2 linked regions of the Saccharomyces cerevisiae S288C genome follow. The protein of the gene in region 2 purifies or fractionates together with the protein of the main gene of each other region. This does not show direct contact. Each region holds a gene or a part of one and is shown on either strand. Other genes may lie near its edges.

Evidence for each region.
Region 1: the proteins of COX26 (region 2) and COX13 purify together in Saccharomyces cerevisiae (affinity purification with western blotting, with the first as the bait; one study listed by BioGRID). This does not show direct contact.

The regions. Positions count from the first base shown.
Region 1 is NC_001139.9:140,194-148,147, forward strand, and holds COX13 (cytochrome c oxidase subunit VIa), read left to right. Parts: upstream 1-4,614; coding exon 4,615-5,004; downstream 5,005-7,954. Other genes in the region: histone deacetylase HOS2, read right to left, coding at 175-1,533; YGL193C (uncharacterized protein), read right to left, coding at 1,723-2,034; IME4 (mRNA (N6-adenosine)-methyltransferase), read left to right, coding at 2,053-3,855; protein phosphatase 2A regulatory subunit CDC55, read right to left, coding at 5,616-7,196. UniProt on the Saccharomyces cerevisiae protein: Component of the cytochrome c oxidase, the last enzyme in the mitochondrial electron transport chain which drives oxidative phosphorylation.
Region 2 is NC_001136.10:688,415-695,939, reverse strand, and holds COX26 (Cox26p), read right to left. Parts: upstream 4,927-7,525; coding exon 4,726-4,926; downstream 1-4,725. Other genes in the region: serine/threonine protein kinase KIN1, read right to left, coding at 1-1,240; DPB4 (DNA polymerase epsilon noncatalytic subunit), read right to left, coding at 1,765-2,355; TRM1 (tRNA (guanine26-N2)-dimethyltransferase), read left to right, coding at 2,679-4,391; VBA4 (Vba4p), read right to left, coding at 5,407-7,525. UniProt on the Saccharomyces cerevisiae protein: Component of the cytochrome c oxidase, the last enzyme in the mitochondrial electron transport chain which drives oxidative phosphorylation.

The sequences.
Region 1 (7,954 bases), on a different chromosome or scaffold from region 2:
GCATCGAAGAGCCGAACTCTTATACAATACATGTCATTTTTAACAATGATGCAAATAACTTTTAAGGCCTTAACACTCTACATAATATGCTAAAAACATTAAAAAAAAAAAAAGGAAAATAAAAAAAAAAAAAAAAAAAAAAACGGGAGATTAACCGAATAGCAAACTCTTAAACTATGAAAAGGCAATCAATCCACTGTTTTCTTTTTCCATTTCTTCTAGCCTATTTGAACTGTCTGCTTCTGTTTCTTCATTCATTTCTTGAATGATTTTATCCTCTTCTTCTGTCAGGGCACTTATATCTTGTGTCGGTATGCATTCAGCATCCATTCTGACACTTGGTGCTCCTTGCAAGTATCTGATATTTTCTAGACATCGTATTCTAATGTCTTCCAGTAGTTTTTTACTGTTTTTGTTTTCGTATAAGTCATCTAACATAGGATAAAGTGAATAATCCGGCCCGAATGAGTCCCGGAATGGGATATCTTCGGGGATGTCTTCTGGTAGCAAGACATCATTTAAAATTCCTGTCTCGTAGGTCCAAAGCCGTGATACATTTCTAGGTGTATAACCTCCACCGCCCACTACTAGCATTGGTAGACCAAATGATTTGACAAATTTTACGCATTCTCCATGTGCCTTTATATTTAAATTGAAGCATCCTAAGCGATCATGACCTAAGGAATCCGCACCGCATTGTTGGACAATAAGTGTTGGTTTGAAAGTCATTATTAGAGGATCTACAATTGACTTGAAAAGGTTTATATATGAGTCGTCATCTATGCCATCTTCTAGGGGTACATTTAATGCGAAATGTTTTCCTTTGTCGCAACCAATTTCTGTCAGATCACCAGTTCCTGGGAAAAATTCGCCATTATATTTATGAAAAGACAACGTGAAGACCCTATCTGTGGTGTAAAATGCCTCCTGGACACCATCGCCGTGATGTAAGTCGATATCGATATAAAGGATTCTTGGGTGATATCGTAATAAGTTCAAAATAGAAAGCACAATATCATTTACATAGCAAAACCCAGATGGACTATTCTTTTTTGCATGATGAAGACCACCAGACCAATTTATCGCTATGTCCGATTGATTGTTGATTAGTTTCCTGGTGGCGTCAAGGCTCGCACCAGTGTATAGTGTTGTATAATCATATAAATTTTGAAAAATAGGACAGTCGTCTCCAATGTTAAAATTTTCAAGTGTGCCTCTGGGCAGTTTGTTTGCATTTTCTGGTGAAACCTTCGAGAGAAAATTCACGTAGTCTTCCGAGTGAAATTGTAGTAATTCGTCTCTGGTAGCGCTTCTTGTTTCATAAAGGTCCATAATCTTGTGCAATCCATAAGAGGAAACTAGGTGATCCGTTAGCATTAACCGAAACGGCTTCATTGGATGCTTAACACCATAATGGTAATGTGAAACTTTGGAGTTAAAATGATACGATACCCTGGGAGAATAAGCAGAATTAAACTCAAATAATGGTTCGTTCTCCTTTGTTTTCACATCATAACTAAATGTTCCAGACATGTTGCGTGTTGTTATTCACTTGATACCTGATTTTAACGTACTTGAGTAATCTGGCGTCTTTTCTATAACTGTACATTGGCGACACACCTAAAACTGATTAGAATCGTTTCAAGATGCTTTCAGTTCAACATTTAGTAACATAGTAGGAATATCACGTTTAACGATGCCCCAAAGAACATCGAGAATCCTCTATATAGAGTATAAACAGGGCATTCTACATTGGTATAGAGGTGCCTTAGGTATATAGTGGTACCGGTCACATAAATTGACGGGAATATGCGTCTTTAGGCGGCTTTTGGCGTACAGTATTGTTCTTTCTTTCGTGCTTGTGAAACTTGTTATAAACAAAGAAAGAGAAAGATCTCCCCGGCATTCTGGAAGATCGGTAACCGCTGGAGCTATAGGAAAGGGAGATGGATAACAGTAAAGAAAACGGACCATATAAGTTAGCATTGGGGGTTTTCGAAAAAAATAAGAATTGGCATTCAGACTTGAATTCATAAAAGTTGTAAGCAGGCTATGATTAACGATAAACTAGTACATTTTCTGATCCAGAATTATGATGACATCCTAAGAGCACCGCTTTCTGGACAGCTCAAAGATGTGTATTCACTGTACATCAGTGGCGGATACGATGATGAGATGCAGAAGTTGAGAAACGATAAAGACGAGGTCTTACAGTTTGAACAGTTTTGGAATGATCTTCAGGATATTATATTTGCAACGCCGCAGTCCATTCAATTTGACCAGAATCTATTAGTGGCAGATAGGCCAGAAAAAATTGTTTACCTGGACGTTTTTTCCTTGAAAATTCTCTATAACAAGTTCCATGCCTTCTACTATACATTAAAATCGTCCAGTTCTTCATGTGAAGAAAAAGTGTCGAGTTTAACAACAAAACCGGAAGCTGATTCGGAAAAAGACCAACTGCTGGGTAGACTGCTTGGAGTCCTGAACTGGGACGTTAACGTCAGCAACCAGGGGTTACCACGTGAACAACTGAGCAATCGCTTACAAAATTTATTGAGGGAAAAACCATCATCTTTTCAGCTTGCTAAAGAAAGAGCCAAATACACGACCGAGGTCATTGAATACATCCCGATATGTAGTGACTATTCGCATGCATCTCTATTGTCCACCTCGGTGTACATTGTCAATAACAAAATCGTTTCTTTACAATGGTCCAAAATATCCGCATGTCAGGAAAATCACCCAGGATTAATTGAGTGCATTCAATCAAAAATTCACTTTATCCCTAATATCAAACCACAAACTGATATTTCGTTAGGAGATTGTTCCTATTTGGATACCTGTCATAAATTAAATACGTGTCGATACATTCATTACCTGCAATATATTCCGTCATGCTTGCAAGAGCGAGCTGATCGTGAAACTGCGAGTGAAAATAAAAGAATACGGTCAAACGTTTCCATTCCATTTTATACTCTGGGCAATTGCTCCGCACATTGTATCAAAAAGGCTTTACCTGCACAGTGGATCCGTTGCGATGTGCGGAAATTTGATTTTAGGGTTCTTGGAAAGTTTTCGGTAGTTATTGCAGATCCTGCATGGAATATCCATATGAACCTACCATACGGTACTTGCAACGATATTGAACTATTAGGTTTGCCTTTGCACGAACTACAAGATGAAGGTATTATTTTTCTTTGGGTGACGGGTAGAGCTATAGAATTGGGTAAAGAGTCTTTGAATAACTGGGGTTACAACGTGATAAATGAAGTTTCATGGATAAAGACAAACCAACTGGGTAGAACAATTGTTACAGGTCGTACGGGTCATTGGTTAAATCATTCTAAGGAGCATTTATTGGTGGGCTTAAAGGGTAATCCAAAGTGGATCAACAAACATATTGACGTCGATTTGATCGTATCAATGACCAGAGAGACTAGTAGAAAGCCTGATGAACTGTATGGTATAGCAGAACGGTTGGCAGGCACCCATGCCAGAAAACTAGAGATATTCGGAAGGGATCACAATACGCGGCCTGGCTGGTTTACCATCGGAAACCAGTTGACAGGAAATTGCATTTACGAAATGGATGTCGAGAGGAAGTACCAGGAGTTTATGAAGAGCAAAACTGGAACCAGCCACACTGGTACTAAAAAAATCGACAAAAAGCAACCTTCAAAATTACAGCAGCAGCATCAGCAGCAGTATTGGAATAATATGGATATGGGGAGTGGTAAGTATTATGCTGAGGCCAAGCAGAATCCTATGAATCAAAAACATACTCCCTTTGAATCCAAACAGCAACAAAAACAACAATTCCAAACACTAAATAACCTATATTTTGCTCAGTAAAGCGTTAAATAATCCTTTTAAACATTAATAGCATTGCATAAAAAAGATGGTCATAAAAAAGACTGCAGCGGGAAGTAAATGGTTTCCTGGTCTGTATTAGACAAACTTTGGAATAGAGAAGGATATGGTTTATGTCCAATAATTATTATCCGAGTCCGTGTATTTTTTTACATCAACTGGAACAATTTATTACCCGGATGTTTAAAAATTGTTGTCGCCTGGAGAAAGCTAATACTAGTTCTGGCCATATTTTCAACCATTAAACACTACTAATGTAATTACTTGACTTATTTGCTCCCACTCTTGGTCGGTTCTTTCCCATGGCGCATTCTACCATTCTTTTTTTCTACTCCAATCGTTCTTACTGGAAACTGTGGGAATAGCGAAGAACGACTATTATTTGCTAATACAGAGTAAGCTATCCTGCTGAATAGGTAGACGATAGTAGTAACCCAACGCCGCTATCCTTTCGATTATACCGCTATGAATGTAGTGATATGGTGCGGTATTGACACAATATAGTAATTTCGGGTAATTTTTTTTCCCACCAATGAGAGGCGGTACTGGGAGTATCGGTCTAAGAGAATCGAAAAATAACCCCCAGCTGGGATGTGATCACGATGAGTGACGGGATACATTAAATATAACAAACATACACGTTGCCTTGAACGTTTTCACTACACATCGCATGTGTTTTATCTAGATTTAAAATCATATTACTACAGTTCTACAGTTATACAAATAACAAACAATAGAAAAATGTTTAGACAGTGTGCTAAGAGATATGCATCTTCATTACCCCCAAATGCTTTGAAACCTGCATTTGGCCCACCAGATAAAGTGGCAGCTCAAAAATTTAAAGAATCATTAATGGCCACTGAAAAGCATGCGAAGGACACATCTAATATGTGGGTTAAAATCTCAGTTTGGGTCGCCCTACCAGCAATTGCTTTAACAGCTGTGAACACATACTTTGTTGAAAAGGAGCATGCTGAGCATCGTGAACATTTGAAACATGTGCCAGACTCCGAATGGCCAAGGGATTACGAGTTTATGAATATCAGGTCTAAGCCTTTTTTCTGGGGTGACGGTGATAAGACATTATTCTGGAATCCTGTTGTCAACAGGCACATCGAGCACGACGATTAATTAATTGATTAAGTGAGAATAAACTTTTCGAAAAATTTTTATTTATGATAATTTTACTAATTCTTACTTATTTCTTTTATATTCGATAAAAAAAATTCAAAATAAAAAAAGATTAATCCTTTGATAGGAACTAAAGGTACTAGGTATTTTGGGCGGCGAAGCATCATTCCGTTCTTAAACATCTATATATATATAATTATATTGCAAATGTATAAGCATTTAAAAACATAAACATGCACCTATGAAGAAGAATTTAAGACGTTTTATTTTTATGTTCCACGCGTTTTGGTGAAGTGATGAAAGAAGTCCTGATAAAGGGATGTCGGATTAATAATTGATACAGTGTTTATAAGATAGCTAATCAGAAAAAAAACGAAAGAAAATGGTATAAGTCTCAGAATAATGATAATAAAACACGCTTGAAGTAGAATAAAAATATAAGTAGAGAAGATAAAATAAAAAAATAAAGATAGAAAGATTTTCAATGAGGGGCAAATCTAAATCTAAAAAATTTGAATTCAAGTTCAATTTAAATTTCAATTAAAACAGTAGTAGTATGTGGGGAAGATATGGGATAAAAAAAAGTAAGGGAAAATAAGGAATTATTATAATTATAATGCGGAAAAAATGAATAAATTATTAGTTGCTGCAACAGCAATACTATTTTCTCTTGGATGCCATGAGAAATGTAAAATATTCTTCTTGAAATCAATATCGTCACCCCAATCCTTATTTCTTGCAGACCTTTGCGCTAGCGAACCGTATCTTTTGTTCCTGAACGCTGTTTTGTCAGCTTGTAACACGATTTCATTCATTTCGGTTCCCGAGTCCTCCGAATTTGCTCCTTCTCCTCCCGCTATACTGCTTCTAGAGCTATTACTACTTCCCACCATGCCTGTGTTGCGTCCGTTACTCCTACGCTTGTGGCTGTTGCCACTACTACTAGAATCTTTATTTTGTATGCTGTTGTGGATATTTTTATTGCTGTTGCTATTAGGTGCGTTGTGTTCATCAAAAGTTTTGACTATGCCATTATCATTATCACCAGAAGTTACTACATTAGGATAGATCATGAAATTGTTATTGTAAGAACCAGTCATTACACTTGAACTATCACCACTAAAATTAACTTCAAATTTATCGAAAATCGCATCGTTTTCATAGGTATCACTCAATCTTTCCTTCAATTGCTCATGTATGTTTATGGTTTTCAAAGGCTTATTATCCATATTTACGTCCCAAATTTTGACAGTTAAATAATCTCTGGATGCAATATACCTACCATTTGGACTAAATTTTATGTCGGAAATTGACGACGTGATTTCTGTAAAAAAATTATGATTGATTGGATCCAAATATTCTTCAAATGTTTTGGTTTTATTGTCACATAGGGAATTTTGTCTCATATCACACAACTTTATTGTACCTTTGGAAGAAGAGTACATGAATAAATTACATTCTTGCGGATGAAATTCAGCGCTTGTGATCACTTCGGTAAGTTCTTCCATATTGGTTGGCTTGATATCTACGATGTTGAAGCTCTGATCTGGTATGTCCAGATTCCATAAATTGATTCTCAAGTCGTCAGCACTTAAAAATGTTTCCTGATCAGAATTCAACGATATCGAATTAATGTGATAGGTATGTGCATTACTATATATACGCTTTGGGGTGGCAGCAATGATTTTGTCATGCTGTGATAATTGAGGCAGTTTCAGCGATTGTAAAGATAATACAGCCCTCACGGAGCCTCCTCTACTGTTATGGTTATCGGGCTTGCCTTTTTTCGCAAACGTAACCCCTTCTGTTAAGTTGTTCTGGCTTACCAATTTTATATTTTTCTCATAAACTTTCCAAAGTTTTATAGTTTTATCATTTGTGCTCAAAAGAAAGTGTGATCTTTGAGTTGGTCGTAACCATTTGATTTCATTTATCTTCTCTTCAATTTCTAAGGATTTTAAATAATCAAATTCTGCGTCATGACTTTGAAACTCTGTTAAAAACTTATATTCGCAATGTCTACTATTACTTCTTTCAAAAAGTACCACACGGCCACCTTTATCACCAGTGGCCAGATAATTTCCAGTATAGTCAAATTCTACAGCTGTAATTAGATCCGCCTCTGTCACCACAATATCTGCTTTATCACCAAAACATTGGCTGAATTTAAAATCAAAATTGTTTTGTGCCATTGTGCGCTATATTATATTTCTTTATGCGTAAGATCTCTCCAGTTTGACCTCGATATGTTGGCTAGATTTTATGAGGTTTACAGTTTATAGAAACACTAGTTTTCCCTTTCTTAATATGTTGGTGGAGTGGGGGTAATCGTATTAAGCTGCCTTATTCACCCTCTGATAGGAATAAAAATCGAAACAGGACGAAAAAAGGGTGAACTAAAATATAGAAGAGAGCCTAATTGACGTAATCGAATTCTTCTAGAATGCGTTTGTATATTCAATTTTCAATTCTTCCAGTCTCTTCGTGGAAAGTTCTCTAACGTAATAGTCTTGTCTTGTGCAAACTCCCTTTATCTTTGACGGGAAATGTTAGGCAAAATTGGATGGAAAAGAGAAAAAAGGAAGGAAAAAAACAAAAAAAATCTACTTAGTTAAGGATCTATTGACGTGCGCGGGGGGAGTATATGCCAATTGTCTCAAAAAAAAAACGTTTATGCCGTGCCGGAATAGAAATAGTTACTGGTCGTTTTCCTATCTGATATAAATCTGAGTAAAACGATTATTGTCTAACCCAATGCAATATATACAGATAGCATTCCGCTCATAGTTAATAATTAACTTCAGACAGTTTTTTTCAATATCTCATTAAAGGGAAGAAAGGGAGGCGAAAAAAAAATCAAAAAAATTATACTTCGTATCAAATTATATTCGTGGAAGGTGACGATAGTAATATTTGATGTTGAACATACTTGAAACATTAACATATTTAA
Region 2 (7,525 bases):
CTCTTTTCGGTAAGTAAGAAGGAGGGGGACCATTGAACCCTCTTACCATCCAGTGGTGCTCCACAACCTGTTTAAGTGTGGCTCTTCTTTTCGGATCTACTACCAACATTTTGGATAACAGTGATATTACTTCGATAGATAAATGTTGGGGATATTCAACCTTACCTTGCTTGATCTTTTCATGTAAAACGCTCGAATTTTCGTCGTCAAATGGCACTTTACCGCATACCAAAACAAATAAAACTACACCAAATGACCAGACATCTACTTCAGGTCCTGTATAAGGATTCGCTTTTAACAGCTCGGGAGCGGCAAAATACAGAGAGCCACAGAATGTATGAAGCTGCTTCCTAGAATCATAAATATTTGAAAGTCCAAAATCAATTATCTTGATTTCACTGGAATCTGAAATCATTATATTTTCTATCTTCAAATCTCTATGGACGATGTTGTTAGCATGCAAATATATTAAGGCGCTCGCGATACCCCTAGCAAACTTTCTCGCTTGGTGTTCTCGTATTGACCCATGTTGGATGATATAGTCTAACAGCTGACCACCTGAAACATATTCAAACAACATATAGAAATGATTTGACAACGTGCACATCTCAAAAAGTCTACATATGTGTGGATGATATAAGATTTGTCCCAAGGACGCTTCTCGAATAGTTCTTTTGTCCCTAGATATTTCCTTCTCTAATTTCTTCTGTCTCTCCAAAACATCTTGTTCATTTTTGGGTGGTGGCAGCATTTGTTCTTTATGTAGGAAAGCCTTTGTAGCACGGTTTACAATTTTTACTGCACAAACCTCATTAGTGTAACGATGTTTTGCCAGCTTCACTTTACCCATAGAACCTGCACCAACTGTTTCAACAAACTCCCAATCTCCTAACGATTTTCGATGAAACTGCTTAGGCATGCCCTGAGAAGACGAAACTCGACTCTGGCTGGTAGTATTTGGCTTTGGTGCATTCTCTCTCGATTTACCTTCAAGTTCTACTTGTCTCTCCTTTTGCTCTGCTTGATGTGAGTTACCATTATTGGCGTATTTGATATCCGCCGGGGGCATTAGCGGTGTGTTCTGCTGCTGCTGCTGCTGTGGACTTTTTCCCATCATTCTCAGCGTAGCGGGCGCCATAGTGCTTGGTTGTGTATGCATGCTGTTGCTTTCACTATTGCCATCATCCTGCTGGTTACCTCTGCCCATTGAGAAGGCAGTATTTACGTGATAATCATCCATATTCTACGTGAGCAAAAAGTAATCGTAATAAACTGTACCTGTTTAAAAGAAGTTGAAAAAAAAAATGCGTAATAGCCCAAAATCCCTAGTATATTCAGTTGCTCTAATCGGAGCAAAGATGTTTGAATTTTACTAATCAATAGTTGGAAAATGAAAGACCGATAGGGTAGGGGGGCGAAGGGTGACAACTAATTATGTTAACTAGCCTAGGTTACCGTATGTCCTTATAATAACGAAGTAAATCTCAAAAAATTTCAAATCACAAAGTGGCTCTAACTAAACCTGCTTGATATCGTATCTCGCTAATACACTTCCTCAACGCCATAATTTCTTGTTAACGTTCCACCAATATCAACTTCTTGTCCCCTTTCTTTCCTTCCGCATTGGCGCCGCGTTGGGTTCCCCGGCTTGCAAATAACGACGATGAGTATAGCTTATTATGTATGTAGGTAATAAAGGCAAGTTACATACTACGATCCTGTGGGAGTGGTGGCAAGCACTACTAGACAGTTTCCATAGCGGGGTTACGTTTGCTCAAGGTTTTGAACTCTAGTTTCTACATCTTGGCTCTCCGTTTTCTGTTTCTTTTCGGAGGACTCTTCTACGTCCTGTAATGCATCGCCTTGTTCTTCTATTTCGTCATGCTCTTTAACCTTTTCCACGGGCACATTCTCCTTATCTTCACCCATATCTATATCGCCATCAGCATCTACTTCACCACTATCTAGTTTTTCCTTCTTCCTCTGTTCAACAGCAGCTTGGTATTCATCTAGTTTATCTCTAACCGGACCCTTCAATGCCGAGTGTCCTATATGGTCCAAAGCACTCAGAACATCATCTACACTGCAGCTTTTTTTATCTTGACTCTTTGCAATTTCCCTTGCAAACAGGAGCAAGTGGTTAACAAATACTGTAGCACCACGCTGTAACGCTAGTGATGCGTCTTTATTTATCAGCAGCTTTTTGCCGCTTTGCTGTGGCACTTCGCGTGCCAAATTCACAATAGTGCTTTTAGGAAATAACAGGTCCTGAATCGTAATGTTCTCTTGTTCTTTAATATACGAAGTAGTGGGGTAATTCCCTTGGGCGTCTTTTCTCCAACCTTTTGGTGGCATCGTGTGTAAAAATATATGGTCTGATATAAATAAGCAATGAAAGGCTTGACTTCTATTTCAAAGTATTAAATAATTAAAAAAATCCTTCCTTTCACCTAAAACCTCTAGGTAATATTCTGTGGCTTCTGCTATTGTGCCGCTATGAATAACAATTTTAAGCTCTGATGATCGAATCTGGTTTTTAACGTTATTCCAATTTGAGCCTTTCTTTATTCGTCCAAAGGGATAAAGCATTATTTTTTTTTCATCGCATTCAATGCTCATCGCAAAGTTACAGATCCTGAGCAGTCATAAGTTGATACCTTTCCTCTTACAATGTAGATATGGAAGGTTTCTTCAGGATACCCCTCAAGCGGGCAAATTTACACGGAATGTTGAAGGCTGCTATATCCAAAATTAAAGCGAATTTTACCGCGTATGGTGCACCAAGAATCAATATTGAGGATTTCAATATAGTCAAGGAAGGAAAAGCAGAAATTCTTTTCCCTAAAAAGGAAACTGTTTTCTATAATCCCATCCAACAATTTAATAGAGATCTAAGTGTTACATGCATCAAGGCGTGGGACAACCTATATGGTGAGGAATGTGGCCAAAAGAGAAATAATAAAAAAAGTAAGAAGAAAAGGTGCGCGGAAACTAACGATGATTCTTCCAAGCGTCAAAAAATGGGAAACGGGTCACCAAAAGAAGCCGTTGGTAATTCTAATCGAAACGAACCTTATATAAATATTTTGGAAGCATTGTCAGCCACTGGGTTAAGAGCCATTAGGTATGCTCATGAAATTCCCCATGTGAGGGAAGTTATTGCTAACGATTTACTTCCAGAGGCTGTCGAATCTATAAAACGAAACGTTGAATATAATAGTGTCGAAAACATTGTCAAGCCAAACCTTGATGATGCTAATGTCTTAATGTACCGTAACAAAGCGACGAATAATAAGTTTCACGTCATCGACTTGGATCCTTACGGTACCGTTACACCTTTTGTAGATGCGGCTATTCAGAGTATTGAGGAGGGTGGTCTAATGCTGGTAACTTGCACTGATTTATCCGTTTTGGCCGGTAACGGATACCCAGAAAAGTGTTTTGCCTTATATGGTGGTGCAAATATGGTTTCTCATGAATCAACTCACGAAAGTGCGCTGAGACTAGTATTGAACTTACTAAAGCAAACTGCCGCGAAATACAAGAAAACTGTGGAACCGCTTTTGTCGTTGAGCATTGACTTTTACGTCAGAGTTTTTGTCAAAGTCAAAACAAGCCCGATTGAAGTCAAAAACGTTATGTCAAGTACTATGACTACTTACCATTGTTCCCGTTGCGGCTCTTACCACAATCAACCTCTGGGCAGAATTTCTCAACGCGAAGGTAGGAACAACAAAACATTCACCAAATACTCGGTTGCGCAAGGGCCTCCGGTTGATACTAAATGTAAGTTCTGCGAGGGGACATACCATTTAGCTGGTCCAATGTATGCAGGACCTCTACACAACAAGGAGTTCATCGAGGAGGTGTTGAGAATTAATAAAGAAGAGCATCGTGACCAGGATGATACATATGGAACACGTAAAAGAATTGAAGGTATGCTATCTCTAGCTAAGAATGAATTATCCGATTCGCCATTCTATTTCAGTCCTAACCATATTGCATCGGTAATAAAATTACAAGTACCTCCCTTGAAAAAAGTAGTCGCAGGCCTAGGTTCCCTAGGCTTTGAATGTTCATTGACACATGCCCAACCATCGTCCCTAAAGACTAACGCTCCATGGGATGCAATCTGGTATGTGATGCAGAAATGTGATGATGAGAAGAAAGACTTAAGCAAAATGAATCCAAATACTACGGGCTATAAGATTTTATCGGCAATGCCAGGATGGTTGAGTGGCACTGTCAAATCAGAGTATGACTCAAAGCTGTCGTTCGCACCAAATGAACAAAGCGGTAATATTGAAAAACTAAGGAAGCTAAAAATTGTGAGATATCAGGAAAATCCAACAAAGAATTGGGGCCCAAAAGCCCGTCCCAACACTTCATAAGAATTTTGATTAGTGTTAGAGCTAAAACGTAAGAAACTAAGGATCCGCCCGAGAACGGTATAATGGACGGAAAAGAATGCTTCTCTTTTGTAATATAGATGTTTAAAGTAATCAGGAGGGCAGTATGTATGTGTAAAAAATAAATAAATATATATATATATTTGAGGAACCAGATCTCAAATGAAAAATATAAGCCAGTATATTTTTTGCATTGTAGCCACTGTTGTAACCTCTGGGCATATAAATAATAATGTATAGCGCCTAGTATCAAACTAAACTCGCCATGTTGGTAGTGTTACACTCATTTTTAGCAAATTTTTTTTTCTTATCAAACTCATGCTTTTCTTGCCTTACTAAAGAAGTATACAGCACCAGGCCAACCTAAACAAACGCTCAATACTGCACTCCATTGAAAGATTTCTGGAATGAGCCTTCTACCTTCCGTAATTACCCACGATTCACCTATTCTACCGCCTGTATACCTCTTGATTGGGGCAGCACGAGCGGAAGATCTCAAAACTTGGCTGAAGAACATTTTACCTATTTAGAATTAAAAGAGTCTGTAAATATCTGTGATATGGTCAAGTGTCTAAAAAGTACAGACAAGGAAACGAAATAAAAAAAGAATTGTTTCGTCATGCAAGAGGAAAGTATGAAAGAAAAATGACTGGCTTATATATTAAGTGTCATTTAGTCGGAGAAAACACTATCATAAACAAAACCATGTTTTCTTTGGTTGCCTACTGATAGAGGGGTTTCCGCTTGCTGCATTTTCAGCAAGTAAAAATCAAGCTATTCTGGCCATTCATTTCTTGCACGGATACCATATCCCCTTGTTCACTCTTCTATTCTTCCCCCGCCCCATACGATCATTTTTCAGATCCCGCCTTTGTGCGGTCACCACAATGATTGAAGTTCCCTGCATCTTTATCTAAGCGACAAAAGTATTATCGGGTTTAAGAAAAAAGAAAAAAAGTATTTGTATTATTTAAAGTATACATTTTCATCTACCGGTTCAAGATAGTGACAAACAATTTTGACTACGACAATGGATTCTGTTGAAAATGAATATTGCTACGACAGTAATCGTAAAAAAAAGGGTAGAGAGTTTGAATACGTTTCGACATGCTTGTAAATAACACTCAATCAAAGTTTGAAAAACAAACTTTGGGGCTGATTCGTGTACCCAATCTGAAGATTCCGTAGCGTGCTTGATAATTTTCAAAAGGTCCTTTTTAAGATAACCTTGCTTGCTAAATGGCATCACCTTCTCATGCATAAGTTTTATTAATGTTTTGTGGAAGACATAACCACCCAAGGAAATACCAACCGTCCCCCCCACGGCACCGAAACAATATACGATAGAACCACTGATAGGTGACTTTCTTTGTTCATGGTACTCATGATAAAGATTTGACAGCAAGGTCAATATCATAGAGGAGCCCAAAAATGGCAGAGACAAACATATATATTGCTTCCATACTGGTAAATTCAAACTTACCCCCATAAGTGCCACATATAGTAACAGGGTGGCTCCGCTTAAAACAAATTTTAGCAAAAAATTCTGTCCTTTCGACTTCCAAAAATAAGAAACACTAAAGTAACCCAGTACAATGGAGAAAAAGAATGGGGACAATCTCTCTGCAAGTTGTAAAGTGCTTAAATTTAAAACAATGATGAAGTACGTTGTACCGAATGGGATGATGCACATTAATGCTGCAAAGCAAAATGAAATTCCTATCATTGTCCATATTAAACGCTTGTCACCTTGTAAGGACATTGAAATTACAGAGTTCATGTAAGTATCGCTTGTCTCTATCAAGAAAAATAAAATGCCACAAACGATAATTACAGAAAATAGTAGCGCTTGAATCATCGTATTATTCTTTAACCCTGTTAAATCCAATGAGGTCACTTGAACGAAACAAAGTAGGAATAGCGTAAGTGTCAATATTTCGTATAAATCAGGACTTAATAGAGTATTCTTGAATCTTTTCCATAATGTAGGCGTTGGGCGTCCATATAAAGTGCTCTTAACAGAATACATATCTGCCAGCATAATCGAGGCATTCACAAGGCAAAAAGGAACTGGTATTAAGAAGGCATTTCTCCACCCGCTACCATGAGAAGAATCAAACAAGTTCATCATAAAGGGCCCAATTACCACACCCATAGCAAATGTTATCATAGAGGCACTCAATGAGTACCGACTGTCGTTCTTTTGAGAAAACCGATTCATAATAGTACTTTTGAGCGCTATTAAGGAACCGCCCCCAAATCCTGTGACACAACGGGCAAAGATAAACGTCCAAAAATGGGCAGAACTCCAAGATAAATAGCCACCAAGGATAAAACTGAATTGAGCAATACACAACAACAATTTTACACTGGATATTAAAGATAGCTTCAAAAATACCAGTTGCCCAATAGCATTACTCAATAGGTATGCTGAGATGACTAAGGATAATCTCCATAACTCATGAAACTCCGAAGCAATTTTGGACGCAATTACTAGGATTATAGAACTGTCCATTGCAATAAAGAATAAATAAGTACACATACAGGATGAAAATATCCGTCTTCTCGTCAGATCATGTACAAGTTCATCAGATGATGTATTTTCGACATAAGGAGGATTCAATCCGTTCTCTACATCCCCGATGCTCTGGGGTATAGAGCCATATCCATATGAAGTGATTTCATCTCCGCTGACTGGTACTTCAGGAGATGGTGCAACAATGTGCAAAGATTTACTACTTGACGTCTGGTTATCTGCCTGCACTACAGGCATATCATCAGCTCTTTCAAACGAATTTGAGGAAGATACTGGTAGCTCGTGCTCACTCATCGGAGTATTGCAGCTGGTAATACTTTGCAATGGTGATACTGATCTATCACTAAAATCTGTAATAGAGCTTTGCAAAGCTGAATTTCCACATGCTTCATGTTGTGAAGGCGGCTTAAGATCGTCTTCATTAGCCTTGTCCGCAGGTTTTCCTTTAATGCTATTGACCTCATCTTGGGGCGAGTCATCAATTTTTGGGCCTTCGTGAAGAGGCTGTGCATCAATGGTATCAATATCAACCGCTTTCGGAATTGATACCTCCTCTTGTTTACTAGGAGCTGATAATAAT